2 linked regions of the Lonchura striata genome follow. The protein of the gene in region 1 purifies or fractionates together with the protein of each later gene. This does not show direct contact. Links are inferred from orthologs where the notes say so. Each region holds a gene or a part of one and is shown on either strand. Other genes may lie near its edges.

Region 1 (7,828 bases):
TCTGCTCCATCCTCCCCAGGGCTCGCGACTGACCCAGCCACAACCACATCAAAAGCCAATAGAGGAGAAGTGAATATTCACCTCTGCCTTTGCAACCAGCTGTGACTAAACAAGGCACAGCCACCGTGTCCCTCTCCACAGGCAGGCTGACATGCAGCTAAAATCACAGCCAGAATCCCTGTATTTAGGGTTTATTTCCTTGCACAGTGCATCTTTGGGGGAGGGTATTTGCTCCCTCATCAAACACAAACCCTCATCCTTCCAACTGATGCCAACCATGGACAGCAGCTGAGCAGACATTTGTGGTAAGCCAAGATCTGCTGAAACCAGAGACAAGGAGGGATAGCATGGAAAAGGAGGACAGCCCTCAGTGCTGCACCCAGGATGGGTGACCTCAGGTCATGCTCCCTCAGCACTCATGCCAGCCTTTCAGGGGTAATCTCAGAGCCAGGAGTGTGTGTCAGGCTCAGTCTCCAGCACACACACCCAACACAGCCCATGGAAAACCAGCTTCTTCCAGACAGGGCTCACAGCAGCAGTGCCCAGTCAGAAATAATTAGCAAACATTTAGCCCAAGCACGTTTTGTACTACTTCCAGCTTGCTTCCTGAAATCCAAACCCTACTCACTCACTTCCAGTCATCCTCACTGCCAGGTTTGGTACCAAACTTCCCATCTCCAAGACAATCATCCTGGAGATGGCAGGACCTCGAAGGACACTGTCCCTCTGAACGCTCCACATGAAGGAGGGGAGCTGCCATCCTAACAGCCCTCACTGTTCTGGGCTTTGAACCTCCACCTCACAGGTGTTCACCACCTCTTCTCTGCCTAGAGCTTGAATAGCTCTTCTCTCTCCCCAAAGTCAAGAGGATCTTTGTTAGATAAACCCAAAGAATGTGAAGAGAAAGCCCTGGATTAACACTAGATGTCAAAAAGAACACAATAAAATACCACAGAAAATTAATCTAGAGCCTCTGTAGGAAATACAAATATTTTTATTTAACTAGCTGCTTGAAAGCATTGGCTGTTCAGTTCTACAAGGGAGGTATCACACAGAGAACACTCTTTGGTAGCATTACAGTCCACAGATCCCCTTCCAGGGAGCATGGCAACACACAAACCCAACCTTGGGTGTGTGATGGGGTTACCCCGACAAGCCCAAAACCCAACACACCATTAACTGTGGGAACCCAGCACATCCCTCTGGCTGCCCTGGCTGTCTCCAGACCCTGGCAGGGGGCTCAGAGACCTTGGCACAAAGTCAAAAACAGCTGTGGCTTCAATTTTAGCCCATGGAAAAAACTGCCAGTTTTGTATGAGGAATTACAAGCCACAAGAGTTTGAGTAGTATGGTAGTTGGATTAACACAGGGCGAAAAAGTAGAATTTTAAGGTTTTAAAATAAGGGATTCAAAGGGGCAAACTAGAGGAATTTGGTCATGTCTTTGACCTTCTCCTTCTTGCCCTCCATGTCTTGCTGTGATGGTGACACTTTATTGGCTTAAGGTAGAAATACACTGTCCAACATAAATAATAGATATTGGCACATTATCGTAAACACAGTACAGGTAGTTTTTTGTGTAAAATGGTGACACCAGCCCAAGGGGGTGGGAGTGTGTTGCAGACTGATCTTCTTATCTATAATCTGCTTTCTCCTTGAGAAAGCAGGTTTTAGACAAGAGAAAATAAACAACCTTGAGAAGCTGACCCTAATTCAGGCATTCTGACTTATTCTTTGGCTGCCCACAAAAACTAGCTCCTAACCCCCTAAAAAAGCAGGTCATATTTTCTAAGAGAGCTAACACAGCTGTTGGACTTTTCTAGACAGGCTTCCTCCACACCACCATTCCTGCTGAAGGCCAACCTGCAACAAGATGAGGTGTAATGATGACAGGACTCTATTTGACATGATCCTGCACCCCCTCCAACAAGGGTCCTGGCCCCCTCTGAGGATGTCACAGCCAGCAGGTCATGGACACACACAGGACTTGAATCTCTGAATGAAAAGTCTTTGTATCTGAGAGTGAGGGGACCCAAACTGCTGCTCTGCAAATTATTCAGCCTGCCTGGAAAAGCCCTAAGAGAACTGAAACCTAGAAAAAATTGTAAGCAAATGGATATTTCTCTGAATTTCTCTGAACACTTGCTTTCTGAGAAGAATAAGTAAAACTCTTTAAACAAGTTAAACCTGGTCAATCTCAAAAGCCAGCCCAAGACAAGGTGAGTCATGGGCTCATCCCAACTGTCCACAAGCGGCACCGACAGATCTCCAAGCCTTCAGGACAATTCTCTGTGGAAAACAGACACTCAGTAGGCTGTGTCAGCCCAACAGCTCCTAGGTGAGCGCCACTGCCATTTTAAGGAGTTAAAGGGAGTTGTCATGCGGGAATTTGGCCATCCTATATTCAGCCAGACCCAATCCTGTTCCGTGTCCCCACCGAACTCTGCTGTCACCTGCCCTTTAGCAGCCACAGGCCAGCGACCAAGAGCTCGCTGCGGCCGCATTTCCACGGCGGGAGCGGTCCCTGTGGTCCCTCAGTGACCCCCGGCAGCACGGGCGGCGCCGGCGGGCGGGACAGCCGAGCCCGGCATGCAGGGCACGGAGACGCCCTCACGCCCGAGCCCCCGAGCCCCGGCCCGGTGCCACCGCCGTGCCCACGGACATCCATCCACACACGGCCGCCCTGCCAGCGGGGCGGGCTGGGCCGCGGCACAGCCGGAGCCAGCCCAGGCCGGTGACGGGCGCTCCCGCACTCCTTCCTCGGCCTCCCCGCTCGGCCCGGGGGACACCGGGCCCGGCACGGCCCGTCCCTCTCCCCGGTCCCCGCGGCCCTCACCGGACTTGGGCGGGTAGCGGTAGGCCGAGTTGGCCTGGATGTCGATGTCCTCCACTCCCGCGATGCGCCGGCTGAGCAGGGAGCCCATGGCGGCCGCGGACAGGGCGGGCGGCCCGGGGGCGCAGAGCGGCGGCGGCGGCACCGGCACCGGGACCCGCACCCACGGCGGCGGCGCGGGGCACGCCGGGACAGCGAGTCCTCCCGCCCCGGGACTACAGCTCCCGGCAGACACCGCGGCGGCGCCTACCACCGGCGGGGCGGGGAGGCAGCGGCATTTACCAATGGCGGTGGGGGGGGGGGGCCGTGAGCTCCGCCGGCAGAAGGCGCTGCGGCGGGAACAGGGATGGAGTGGGAATTGGGACAGGGAGAGGAACAAGGATGGGCATGGGGCACTCTGCATAGGAGGGACCCGGGCATGGAGATCACCAGGGGCACCTCAGATGGAGAAGCCCTTGGGAGCTCAGGCAGGGATGCACAGGGAGGATGGCCGAGGACACATCCTGTACCGGGAAGCACAGGGAGGATGGTCACACCTTGCACAGGGATGCAGAGGGACAAAGCCCAAGGTCATGCTCTGCACAGGGATGCGCAGGGGGGATTCCCAGGGACACATCTGGCGCAGGGAAGCACAGGGAAGATGCCCAGAGAGACAGAGCCTGCACAGGGATACCCAGGGCTGTCCAGGGACACACCACACACAAGGATGCCCAGGGAGAATTATCAAGGGTACTTCCCAGATGTGGGATCTGCTACTGGCTGAGGCTCAAAGCCAGCAGGAAAGGAGGTGATCAACCTCCCAGGGAGAAGGACATGGAAATGAAAGGAAATAGAGATGCCTGAGGTTTGAATGCGAGGAGAGGGAATGGCTGTGGGCTGCCTTGCATGTGGGACAAAAGAGTAGGGAGGAACATGGCATGGAGCAAGAGGCATGAAAAAGCCATCAATGTCCCAGGACTGAGCCCTGTCCCCTCTGCACCAAGGAACAGAGAAAAATCGCTCCCTGTGATGGGAAGTACCTCCCTGCCCATAATGCCACAAAGGAACTGGGGACCCAAATTCCCAGCAGTGGAGCTGGGAATCACTGGGAGACATAAAGGAGCTGATGTGGCGCATGTGAAACCCCTTAAATTAGCCTTGGGAGCAAGGAAGAGGGCTGGGATTTAGGGAAATGGGATGGAGCAGTGAGCAGAGCCTGACAGCACAGAAGGATTTTGTGATAGCAAGTGAGCAGGCAGTGGGTGGAATTTGCTGGCTGTAAACACAAACTAAAACACGCCCAGCAGGAATGAGCAAACAATCCCGAGGTGAAACGTGCTTCCGGACAGTTATTATCCTTGCAGCTGTTGTGGCCACATGAACACAGCCAGAGAGGCTGCAAGAGGCATGGGATGCAGGGGAACACATGCTGGGGGTGAGGACAGAGCAGGAGCAGACCTTGCTCTTCAGCATCTCATTGTGCAGCAGGGCTGGGAAGGAGGACAGGGAAAAAATATGGAATGAGCAACAAGTCTTGCTGGCCAACCACGAGAGTTGGGTACCCTGCGCCTGGCACGAGGGAGCCCCAGGCTCTGGCTGTGCCCTGGCAGTAACTGTGCCTGGGAACTTTCTGCTGTGTCCCCCAGGATCCTCCTGGCACCTGGAGTGCCAGTGCCAGTGCCAAGCAGCCTCTCCGTGCAAGGGTTTCTCACAGCAAGACCAGGGAGAGATGGAGTCTGTTGACTATCACAGGGACAGGGATGGAGTCTGCTGACCATCACAGGGACACGTGTGCTGGCCCAGAGCGTGTCCAGGGCTCCCTGCCTGCACAGCCATAGGAACAAGCTCTGGGCAGTGCCCTGGCAGCAGCGGGGTGATGTGAACAGCTCATGTGCCACCAGTAGCCCCAAACTGAGCAGGGTGAATCCACAACCCCCAAGGCCTCACTCTGCAGCCCACCAGCCAGTTTGGGGCTCAGTCCTGGAGCAGACTGGGCACTGCAAGGATCACTGGGTCCATCTCCCTCTTCTATCCTGAGAACTGGTGGCCAGCTGGCCACGGCCTGGGGGCCAAAGGAGAGTAGTGTTTGCACCATGAAGCAAGCAAGGAGGGGAATTTGCATATGGACAGAAGATGAGAGTCCCTCTTCCTTTCCTCCCACAGCCTGAGCACCGAAAGCATCCTGCTCTTCTCCAGCTCAAAGAAGCATCCAGAGGCAGCTGCCCCAGAGCTGTTCCCTGAGCTTTTTTTGGGACAGAATCATGGGATTCTAGAATGGCTTGGGTTGGAAGGGACCTTAAAGATGATCTCGCTGCAAAGCCACATTCCCTGAGCAGCTGCCCCCGCTGCTCACCAGGAGCTCGGTGCCACGTGGGTTAAGCAGGGGAGAGCCAGGTCCCACAGCCGCAGGGTGTTGGCTCTGCCCGGGAAGCTGCAGCAGGAGATCTTTTGTTTGTGCAAAACCTCCACCAGCGGGAAGGTCCCTCCCGGCCGCCCCGCTCTCCGGAGCGCTCAGAGGAAGCCATCGGGCCCCGTGGGGGTTGCTGCCATGTGGGAGGGCAGGGGCTTTTTCTGGAGAATCCATCCCTCCCAGGCCCTGCTCCGCGACACAGCGACAACAGCAGCGGCGTGCCAGGGCCGGGCTCAGCCCTTCCGCCCCAAATCCCGAGTGAGCGGAGCTGAAGGGCAGCAGCTCCTCTGCCCCCGCCCAGCCTGTGGGACGAAGGTGCTGGCACACACAAAGGCAGGACATTGCACCACGGCCTCCTCCAGCCCATCAAGGACCACTGCCAGCAGCATGGGCGAGGAGAGTGGCTGGCTTGGGGCAGGGAGCAGGGCTGCCCTGCCAGCCCACGCCAGGGTCCCACAGCTCCTCAGGTGGGTCCCATGGGCTGGAGGAGCAGCAATAGCCCCACACACCCTGGTGGTGCCACCCGAGTGGGTTTTGCGCCTTCACCTCTGGGTTCCCTGAGATGTGTTTGCCCCCATTTTGGTGCTGCCAGCCCCAGCGGCTGCTTGCAGCATGAGGGAAGAAAGCCACGAGGATGGGAAGTCCTCTGTGAGAAAGGATGAAACACTTTCACAAGGTTCAAGGGACCTGAGACCCTGAGTGCCATCATGGTGTGGGGTGAGGGTGGTCAAACTGGGAAGGACCAGGGTGAAATTGGGCCATGGCTCCTGCCACCAGGAGCCTGCAGAGCCCCAGGGGTGGTGAGGAGACCTCAGCTCCTGCACTGCCTTCCAGCTCAGCAAATCCCATCCAGGAAAAGATGAGGGATCCTTTGAACCCCAGGAAGAAGAATCCACAAAGCTGCAGCCTGGAAGAGTCAGATGGGCCAGAGGGACACCCACCCTCCCATTGCCACATTTCCCTAGCTGCCCTTCAGGAGTCTCCTTGGATGTGTCTGCTGGGGAGGCAGCTATGAGCACACCCATGTAAACAAGGAAATATGTTTCCCTGCAAAGCTCCCGGTCACCAGAGCAGCCCATCCAAAGTCCAGCTGCTTGGGGTTTATTACCCAGTGCTTTGTCTCTGTTGTTCCCACTGCCACTCGCTGTGTTTGTCAGGTATGTGTAGAACAACAAGGTCTGGGAGCCCTGGAGACACCACATGGAATTACAGCTCACCAGAAGGAGTGCTGTGCCCATGAACTTTGCCTCCCTAAACACTGCCCTGCTATACAGGGCTTATGACCCTTCTCTAAAGCCCTGCCGGGCCAGGCCCAACCCTTCTCCCTCCAAACACCAAACTCCAAGGTTTCTAAACATGCCTGACTCCTTCTGATTAAAATAATCATTCAGCAGATTTGTTTTTCCTGGTGTATTTACCCCATGATGGCTACAAACGTGCCTGTGCCACCTCTCCCTGGGGGTTGTCTTGACCTTGTAAGAAAAGAGCAGTCACCTCTTGATAGGTCCCACCGCCACGTACAGCTGTGCTCTCACTTGGATTTAGGCAGTGAGACACACAGAACAAGAAGGAAATCCCCTTGGCCCTGAAATCCTCCAAGGCTTGGACAGGCTGAATGGTTGTGCAACTCTATAATGGTTACTAAAGAACACGTGGAAAATCCTGAGTAGCTTTGGACACTACCGGAGCAATTCCTGTCCAGGCAGCTGAGGTTGCAAACCCCACTCATCAAGTGCATCACCTGCCTGAGCTTCAGGCATTTACTCCTCAAGGCTCAGAAACACCAGCAAAATGCCAGCCAGGGTCAGAGGTGTTACTGAACAATCCACTCGCAGCCAGGCTCAGCCTCTCCAAACTGCAGGAAACAGCCCAGAACCTCCTCTCAGGAAAGGTGGAGGCGGCTGGAGCCGGCAGTTCCCTTCATCTTTTCCCTGGTGTTATTACCCTGGCACTGAACGGTGTGTGTGTGTCTGCTTACCCTTAGCTACAGCACTGTCCGCTCTGCCGGGCCCTGCAGCGCCCGCCTGGCTGCGAGCTTTTACCTGCTGTGACACTGTTTGCTTCATCTGAGCCCCCGGCACCTTCCAGAACCTTCCCTCGCCGCCACCTCTCCCTTCAGCTCCCACCAGCCGCCTCAGCGATGCACGGACACGCTGCGGCTGAGGGAAATCCGGGACCAGGAGGGGGTGGGCGACCCGCCCATAGTTTATAAGCGCGGCTGGAGGGCGCGGGGGCCAAGGGGCTGCTGCTGCTCCCCCGCCTCTCGGGCCGCGGAGCCGCACGGCAGCTACAAGCCAAGGGGTCTCCGCCAGAGCTCCGCACGCTGCAGGAGGGGGGCGGCGGGGCCTGCAGGGGGTCTCGGTGCCGGAGGGCAGCGGCGCCGCTGCCCCGGGCCCAGCGCGGCCCCGCCGCTCCCTCACGTCAACAGGAAACCGCACGCGGCCGGCCGTAAACACCGCCCGCGCCCACGTGACCGCGCGGGCCCGCCCCGGCCCCGCCCCGCCCGCGGCCCGCCCCCGCCGCCCTCCCATTGGGCGCCGCGCCGTTGTTGACCATATACGGTCAGGTACTACCAAGCCGCGGGCGGCGGTTGGCCGGCCCCGCGCG
Region 2 (7,501 bases), on another chromosome or scaffold:
CTTTCTGATTTTTTTTCAAAATTACATACTTGACTCTTCTATTCCTTTTCCAGAAGAAAATTACAGTTCCTAACTACTGAACCATCATTTTCCTGACTCAGTTAATTTTACCCTGTTCTTAATATCTTTATAGTGCAACAAACCAGCTGCAGTTCCTTACGGCCCAGCCTCAGCATGACTAACCCTGTAAGATTACATTTTATTCTGATCCTTTCCTGAAAGGATTGAGAAATAACCTGTTTTGTGTACAAAATGATCCAGTTTCATGTGCCTGAGTCATGTGCCTGTACTCAAATCAGAGCTCCAATGTGTCTTCTTTGGCATCCTTAGTATACTCTAGAAAAACAAACAGAAAAACCAAACAAAAACCCTCCAGCCAATGAACAGAGGGAGTAGACTTAAATCAGAATCAGTCAATTAGGTTCATTTTATACAGTATACAAATAAAACAGCTGAAATCTTTACTAGAACACTTTCTCTGTGGGAGGGGAGCAAGTGGGAGGTAGGAAGGGGGAGTCTTTGCAAGCATAAAGCTGGCTAAAGCAGTTATTTTGCTCCCACACAAAACTCTGACAACTCTACCTCCAAAAATAAAGGAAAAGGGCAGGAAAAGCATGACATGGAATGCTAAGAAAGGGAGAAAACAGCAGAGTACAGTGAAATGTTTCACTGCTGTAAAGGCTGCCAAGAGAATATGTTTCAGAATTGGTTTGGAGGAGAATATGGGCAAGTGGAAAAGATTTAAAACACACCATCCCCTTCTCCCCAGACCTTCTAAGCTTATTTTTCATGAAGAAGAAGTGAATGTAGACACAAAGTCAGTGAAGTATTCACAAGAAAAGTAACCTGCCAAATTCTTAACCTGTTGATTTTGAAGCTGACTTCTAATTTGGTTAAGTAGGCAATGTCATGCAGTAGCTAATCTCATCATTGGCAATCTGGATGTCAGCTGAGCAGCTTTCTTCTGGATAATCACAAATACAATGATCAAACATCAAGCTGTATATACCATAGAACTGCATTTCTCAACTCTGCATTGGGAACTGCACCAAAGGACAGAACTAATGAGATTTGCTGTAAAGGCAAGTAGGTCTAGTGATCTGGAGAGAAAAAAAAAAAGGGGGGGGGGGGAGGGGCTATAAGACAAATGTTTAAACTTTCTTCTGGAAGAACACAGGTTCACACAATAGGTCAGTGCTTGATACAGAGAATAGTGCTTATAGTACAGAGTAAGAAACTTGATTTTTTTTTTTTAACAGGATATGATGAGATAGGTCTTTTGAATGATTACCAGATATGATAATAGTAAGAGCTAAAACTAACAAGTAAGAGATACTTTGAACAACAGACCCAGCAGTCTGAGTTTTCATCTGGTTGCCTAAACTGAATGACAAACTTTTGCACCTGAGTTTTGCAGAGAAGAATAGCATTCAATCAAATGTTTCTTGATAGGCCTTGAGATACAGCTCATTGTGTTGGGATTTTAAAAACATATTAACAGAGATAGGAATCTCCTTTTCTATTTGGTGGTTCGGTATCTGACCAGGAGATGGGAGACCTGGGTCTCTAGCTCAAATGACTCCACAAAACCACACTCTGTTTTTGAAGTCATAGCCCCTAGTTTCATTTCTTTAAAAACCCCACATCTTTGATCTGGTTTGATTGTTTTTTAAAATACTGTTTTACCTTTGCTTTGTTTACATTTTTTGTAGAAATTGAAGTTCCTGCATCTGCTTGTCTGTTGTTTTAACCCAGTTCCTCTTAACTTCCTGGACTGCCTTAAAATAATTCTTAAAAATAGCAGAAAAAAAATCAGCAAACATACAGAAACACATAGAAATAGAAAGCTTATTTTGGTTTTTAAACAAAGCTTTTGATTTTAAGACAAGTTCACCCTACACTGTTCTTTCCTCATGAGTTAATCATTTCCAAAGCTGTGTGTAGATGTACAACTCAACAAACCTACAGATCACCTACATGCTCCTATATGATGACAGAGTGCCTACATATTAGGAACATTAGGATACATACATCACTTTGAAAATACAGTGGATAGGTACCTAAATGTGTCCTTTTTGTGAAATATTTTTCCCATGCATAAGCCATAGGTGAGTTAGAATCGCTAATACAACGGTGTGAAGGAGAAAAACCCCAAAACACCAACATGACCCCTATCAACAACAACTATATCCAGCACTTAGAAAAGTGGCACAAATCAATGCCAACAAGAACCATTTATAAATATGTCAAGAATTAATATAAAACATTAAATTATTGTGGAAAGGTAATCTTTAAGATTACAAAAAGTCCTTTCAGTTTTACCTATGTATGTAACAATTTCAGTGAAATTCTACAATCCATCAGCTGTGTATTGAAAGAAGGATCCATAAAACTTTTAAAAGCCAAGGGAAAAAAAGTAATAAAACATGAAGAAATTATTCTGTTGAATGGCTGTTTGGATTTTTTTAGCTAAATAAAATGGAAGTGCAATCCAGAAATATTTCATTACTTAACCAGATTAAAAAACACCAAACCAAAGCACAGATGTAATCTTGAAGTGCATTTTGTACTCATTCTTTACACATTGTAGCAAAATGGAAATAAACTGGGGTCAGATTATCCAATCTCTCCACTGGTTTTGGTGGTACCAAACATTGTTACAACGTAGAACTAAGACTTTTTCCTCCTTTTCTTAAACAACTCTGGGTTTCTCTGCACAGTAGGTGGTAAGGCTCCTAGAGCAGCCACTGCCATGCTGCAACCAACCGCTGTGGAGCTGCATCAGGCTGAGCTCTGTGCAGGAGCAAAGCAAATTGAACACTCAGTTACCCATGTGCCAGGGGCACAGCTGGCCTGAGCCCTCTGATTTAAGCAACCTGGGTAAATCTCCACAACCTTACAACTGGAGCAGTGCAGGCTACATGGCCAGTACGGACGTATTACTCACCCTCCGCTGGGTCTTGTGCCCAGACAGCCCCATTTCCTCTCCTGGGCTTGGAGCAGTGCTGGATGGAGAATTATCTCCTCAGACAGTTTGCCACAGCTGAGAAGCATGCAGCTCTTTTGCTGGACAGCTAGTACTGCAGTTTGTAAAGGCACATAGAGGGAAACAGAAAGATATGTAGAGGCTGAGCTCCAATGCAGTAGATTTAAACCAGACAAGTTACCAGCATCAAAAAACAGGTTTCTGTGCACCTTTCCTTGCTGCCACCAAAAGACATGGTCTGTTCTTCCCCTTCCACTCCATTCATTCATCTGCTGCAATCAATATAATTCACTAAGCAAGCAAAAAGAGATTTCTTTGTTTTCTGTTTCTCTGTAGAGAGAAGTAGACATGAACACAACTGCAGTAGGGAGCCATTAGACCGGCCCTGCTATACTAACTGCCCCCACAGGGCACTCTGACAAATGGGACCTTGGCACCAGGCTCCCATCCCCAGGGTTTATCCTCACCCACAAGTGAGCATTACCATTTGCAGCACAGCAAACAGAACCAGGGGACTGACTCAGGCCAAAAACAGGCCATCAAAGCCAAATCAAAAATAAAGAGACAGTATTTTTAGACCAGGTTAGCTCACCAGTCCAGTTCACCACTCCCACCAGCATCATGGACTAGTAGTCCAAGGAACAAGCAAATGAAAGGGGAATAGTGCTCTGCTGTTTAAGCCTGGCCACTTACTAAAAGAAATGCTCAAGCTATAGCCTCAGGTATTATGCATATTAGTGTATAGAAATAAGCACTTCAGATAAAAAGTAATCCACCTCTGCCCAGAGGGGTAGCTTGCAACTCAGAACTCAAAGTTCTCTTCTATATTGTTTATGGGTGTATTTTTTTTTTGTGACCACTGCATCATGCAAGTATAAATATTAGAAGGCAAGGAGCCACAAAACACCTCTTTATAGTTTCTTAAAGAGAGAGGGAATAAATAGCTAGCTACAATAAAGGACCCTTCAGGGGTACTACAGTGCTAATATTTAAAACATGCAACACCACAGAAACCAGTCAATTCCAATTTAAAATTGGCCTCAGGAAAAAAAAATGAAAAAAAACCAGTCAAGCTGTTGAAGTTTAAAGGCTTCATAACTAAGTTATTCAGGGGATTTATTTCTCTGCTTATAGTAGTTTTCATGCATCTTAGTAGTTTCACTTAAGCTTCTTGTTCACCACTTTCTGACTCCAAGTTTACAGTACAACTCCTTCAAGTTCAGTTCTGCCACTTTTTCACCACTAGGAAAAGAAAAAAACACAGAAACATTTGGTGAAATCTACTGAAATAGCTCAACTACTTTCATGTATCAGTTATTGCTGGCTAGCAATGTGCTGTTAGAGAAGAAAAACAATACAGATTCTGGAGTAAAGTAAGGTGACAAGCTAGTTATCTTCCTCACTTCTCTGAGTCTAAGCTTACAGAACAGTCTAAGCTCTGCTCTGTACAGAACATCTCTACTCCCTGAGATTATGGTCTTCTAGGATAGCCTTCACTCAAAACACAGCTAAGCATGATAGATGTTAAGGGACACAGGGATGGAAACTTCCAGGACTGCTGCTTTTCTGGAACAGATCACCAGACAAGGTGTGTAAAATGTCAATGTACAGCAAGAAAAGCATGTCACTCTTCAAAGATCACTAGTTTTCTGCTTACTTTTAAAAAAAGTAAGTCTAAAGGCCCAAATCTGTAAACATTTAATTCTAAGCTGATAACATTATTCAGCAGAACATCTAAACATACCTTTTTAGGCCTGTGAGCATCTAAGCATTTTTTGGCAGTTGAATGTGGGTTACCTTTGGACTTGATGTATTTGTGAGGATTATCAAAGATACATAGAAATGTAATCAACTGAAAAACTTTTCTATTCTCCTGTGTATCTGATCATATCACAATACAAAGCAAAAATAATTCCACCTGGAACTGCACTGCAAGATACTTTTGAGATGTAGTAACTGCCAACTGCGTACTCAGAGATATCTTTCAAAGCAGAATGAAGAGAGGAAGGGAATAATAAATAAAATAGGCACAGACTGTAAAGTTACTCTCTCACTAAGTAAGCCTGAGCTCCTTAGTAAGTCCAGTAGTAACAGGACCTTCATTTTAAAACATTCAGAAGAACACTAATATCTCTATGCCAATTAATAGACCAAAAAAAGCTAAATAACTGCAATGCTCCAGTCAACAGCAAAGACCATTCACTGTCCTGATGTGGCCTGAGCCTATCCCAGTCACAGGCCTGGATCCTGCCTGTGGAGTTGCGGTTTCATATGTTTTATTACACCTTTATTCTGTCATGGTTTGTTCCAGTGTACCCCCATACTGTATTGGTTTCTCCCTGAGTTTTCCCGCCTTTCCCCAAGTGTCGGTTTCCCTGGAAGGTGCCAAGTCAGTCCCCTGCCCCCTCCTAAGTGCCTTGTCTGTCACTCGGTGCCCCTTCCCCTACCTCTGGAAACTTCCATCCAGGGCACCGAGTGATTGGATGAGGGCCTGGGACCCCTACCCTGTCTCCCCTTCACTGGATCCCCCACATGTCAATCCTCACAAGAGCCACTTCCATATGTTTCCCCACTGTCTGATCGGTCCCCCTCCCTCTCCCTATCTAACATGTTGCCAGCACCCCTCAGTTGCTCTTGTTGGCTGGCCCCCTCCGATGCTGTTGGATCCTCAGGACCTCAATAAACATCGGATTTTTGCCCCCAACAAGTGCCTCTCCTCATTTCCTCTCCGTTGGATTCAGCAGCGACCTCAGGACCCACCAAGCACTCTCCAAAGCCCAGCTGGGTACAGCGGAGGGTGCTTCCACTCGCCCTACTCGCCCCCCAGGAGAGCTAGCCAGGGCTGAGGACAGGGGTCTGGGGCGGGTACGCAGCACCTGACTCACCCACACACCCACCCACATGGGAAACTGGACATCAGCCAATCAATGAGGATCCAAAAGCCTCTTCACATTTATGATCATGAAGACACAACCCTGATTTACAGCTTGCTTAATAACACTGTGGTCAAACTTAAGTTACTGGCCATTAAGAAAAGAAACACATAATGATATAAAGGAAAGTAAGCTAGAGACATTGGTTATAAGTGTAACAAGAGAGCTTCCTGTCCTATGTTAAACTCAGCATGTGATCTGTAAATTAAGAACTGTTTCATGTACGTATGGCCATCTGATTTAATGCCTACCTAGAATACACACCCAATAGTTCCCGTGTGGTAAAGTTGCTATGTGACTTGTAAACTCATAGGGATATTTCATATGTGAAAGTCTTACCCCTACACCACTCTCTCGGCAGACTTTGTTCCCCACTACCAGACTTTCTAACATGTAGGGGGAGAGCGCTCAAGGGAATTTATCAGACCAGATGGGTCTTTTAACTTTAGCAGGATCATGCAAGCCTTGTTCAGATTTCAGATTCAGTCACTGCAGCCAACAACAACAAAAATCCAAGGGGGGGCTAAGTTAAGCACCATGTAAAACTTACCAGACAGAGCTTCATCATCACAATCATGAAAGAAAAATAGGGTAAAAATATTTTATAAATTATCTCAACAGACCTCCCCTCACATAATGTAATATTCGAAAACAGAAAGTCAGAAGCTTCACTAATCATTAGCATGAATAAGGAAGAAGTGCTCAATACCTATTAATGTAACTTAACTGCTTTAAAATTTTCTCTTATGTCCCATTTAACTGCTCATTTAGAATTAGATATAACCACTCTCATATTCCAGCATGTGAATTTATGATGAGTTTCTTAAGGTTCAAAGAAATGTAAAAAGGTAATAAAACAGACTGTTTACTACTGTCATGCATTTATTTCCTAATGCAAGGCGTCTGCCGTGTTATTCCAGATCTTTACTACTAAATCCTCAAATTCTGTTGTACAGTGAGCACTGTGTTCTCTGAGTTAACATTACTCATGAGCATCACAAATACATAATTTTATAGGATTTGTGTTTTTTTTCCAGGCTAATAGAGTTCTCTTGTTTTTCTAGGAAATATCTACACATCCTGCCCTTTAGTGAAAACACCAGTCTTGTAGGATGCTCTATAAAGGCTTCTGACAAGAGCAGACTTGAGCTCTGTGGAACTTTCATTATCAATAATACATAAGGAGGAAAAACCCTATGTGGCTTGACATTTGGGTTTCTTTTAGTCTACTGTGGCTTCTCTACATCTTCTCTGCAAGAGGGCAGAAGTAGCACCAACAGAAAATGCAGACAATATTTGCAGGACCAGCTGCACAATGGGAGAGTGAGGACAGAAAAATCAGGCAGAGGTGAGTCCACTTACTGTGAGAAATGTATTTGTAAGGAATTCTCAAAATCTTGCAGAAAGTTCACACAGTCTTGTACATCTGTATGCAAACACTGAGGTAAGGTGTGCTGACTTAGGAAGGCCATGAAATAAAGATGACATTGTTGAGAGAGAGATTGAACTAGAAACAAGTTTCATCAAGTTTCAAACTATGGCCTTGTAAAAAGGCCAGATATTTTAGAAAATTAGAATGGTG

What was found. The genes of interacting proteins can lie anywhere in the genome.
Region 2: the proteins of MGRN1 (region 1) and ANKRD46 purify together in Homo sapiens (co-immunoprecipitation; 3 studies listed by BioGRID and IntAct, counting the BioPlex papers as one, with this or other methods). This does not show direct contact. The link is inferred for Lonchura striata from reciprocal best matches to the Homo sapiens genes MGRN1 and ANKRD46.

Annotation. Positions count from the first base shown.
Region 1 is NC_134618.1:4,077,384-4,085,211, reverse strand, and holds the start of MGRN1 (E3 ubiquitin-protein ligase MGRN1), read right to left. Parts: upstream 3,002-7,828; 5' UTR 2,924-3,001; coding exon 2,836-2,923; intron 1-2,835. UniProt on the Homo sapiens protein: E3 ubiquitin-protein ligase. Mediates monoubiquitination at multiple sites of TSG101 in the presence of UBE2D1, but not of UBE2G1, nor UBE2H. Plays a role in the regulation of endosome-to-lysosome trafficking.
Region 2 is NC_134603.1:21,600,536-21,608,036, reverse strand, and holds the start of ANKRD46 (ankyrin repeat domain-containing protein 46), read right to left. Parts: upstream 3,002-7,501; 5' UTR 2,948-3,001; intron 1-2,947.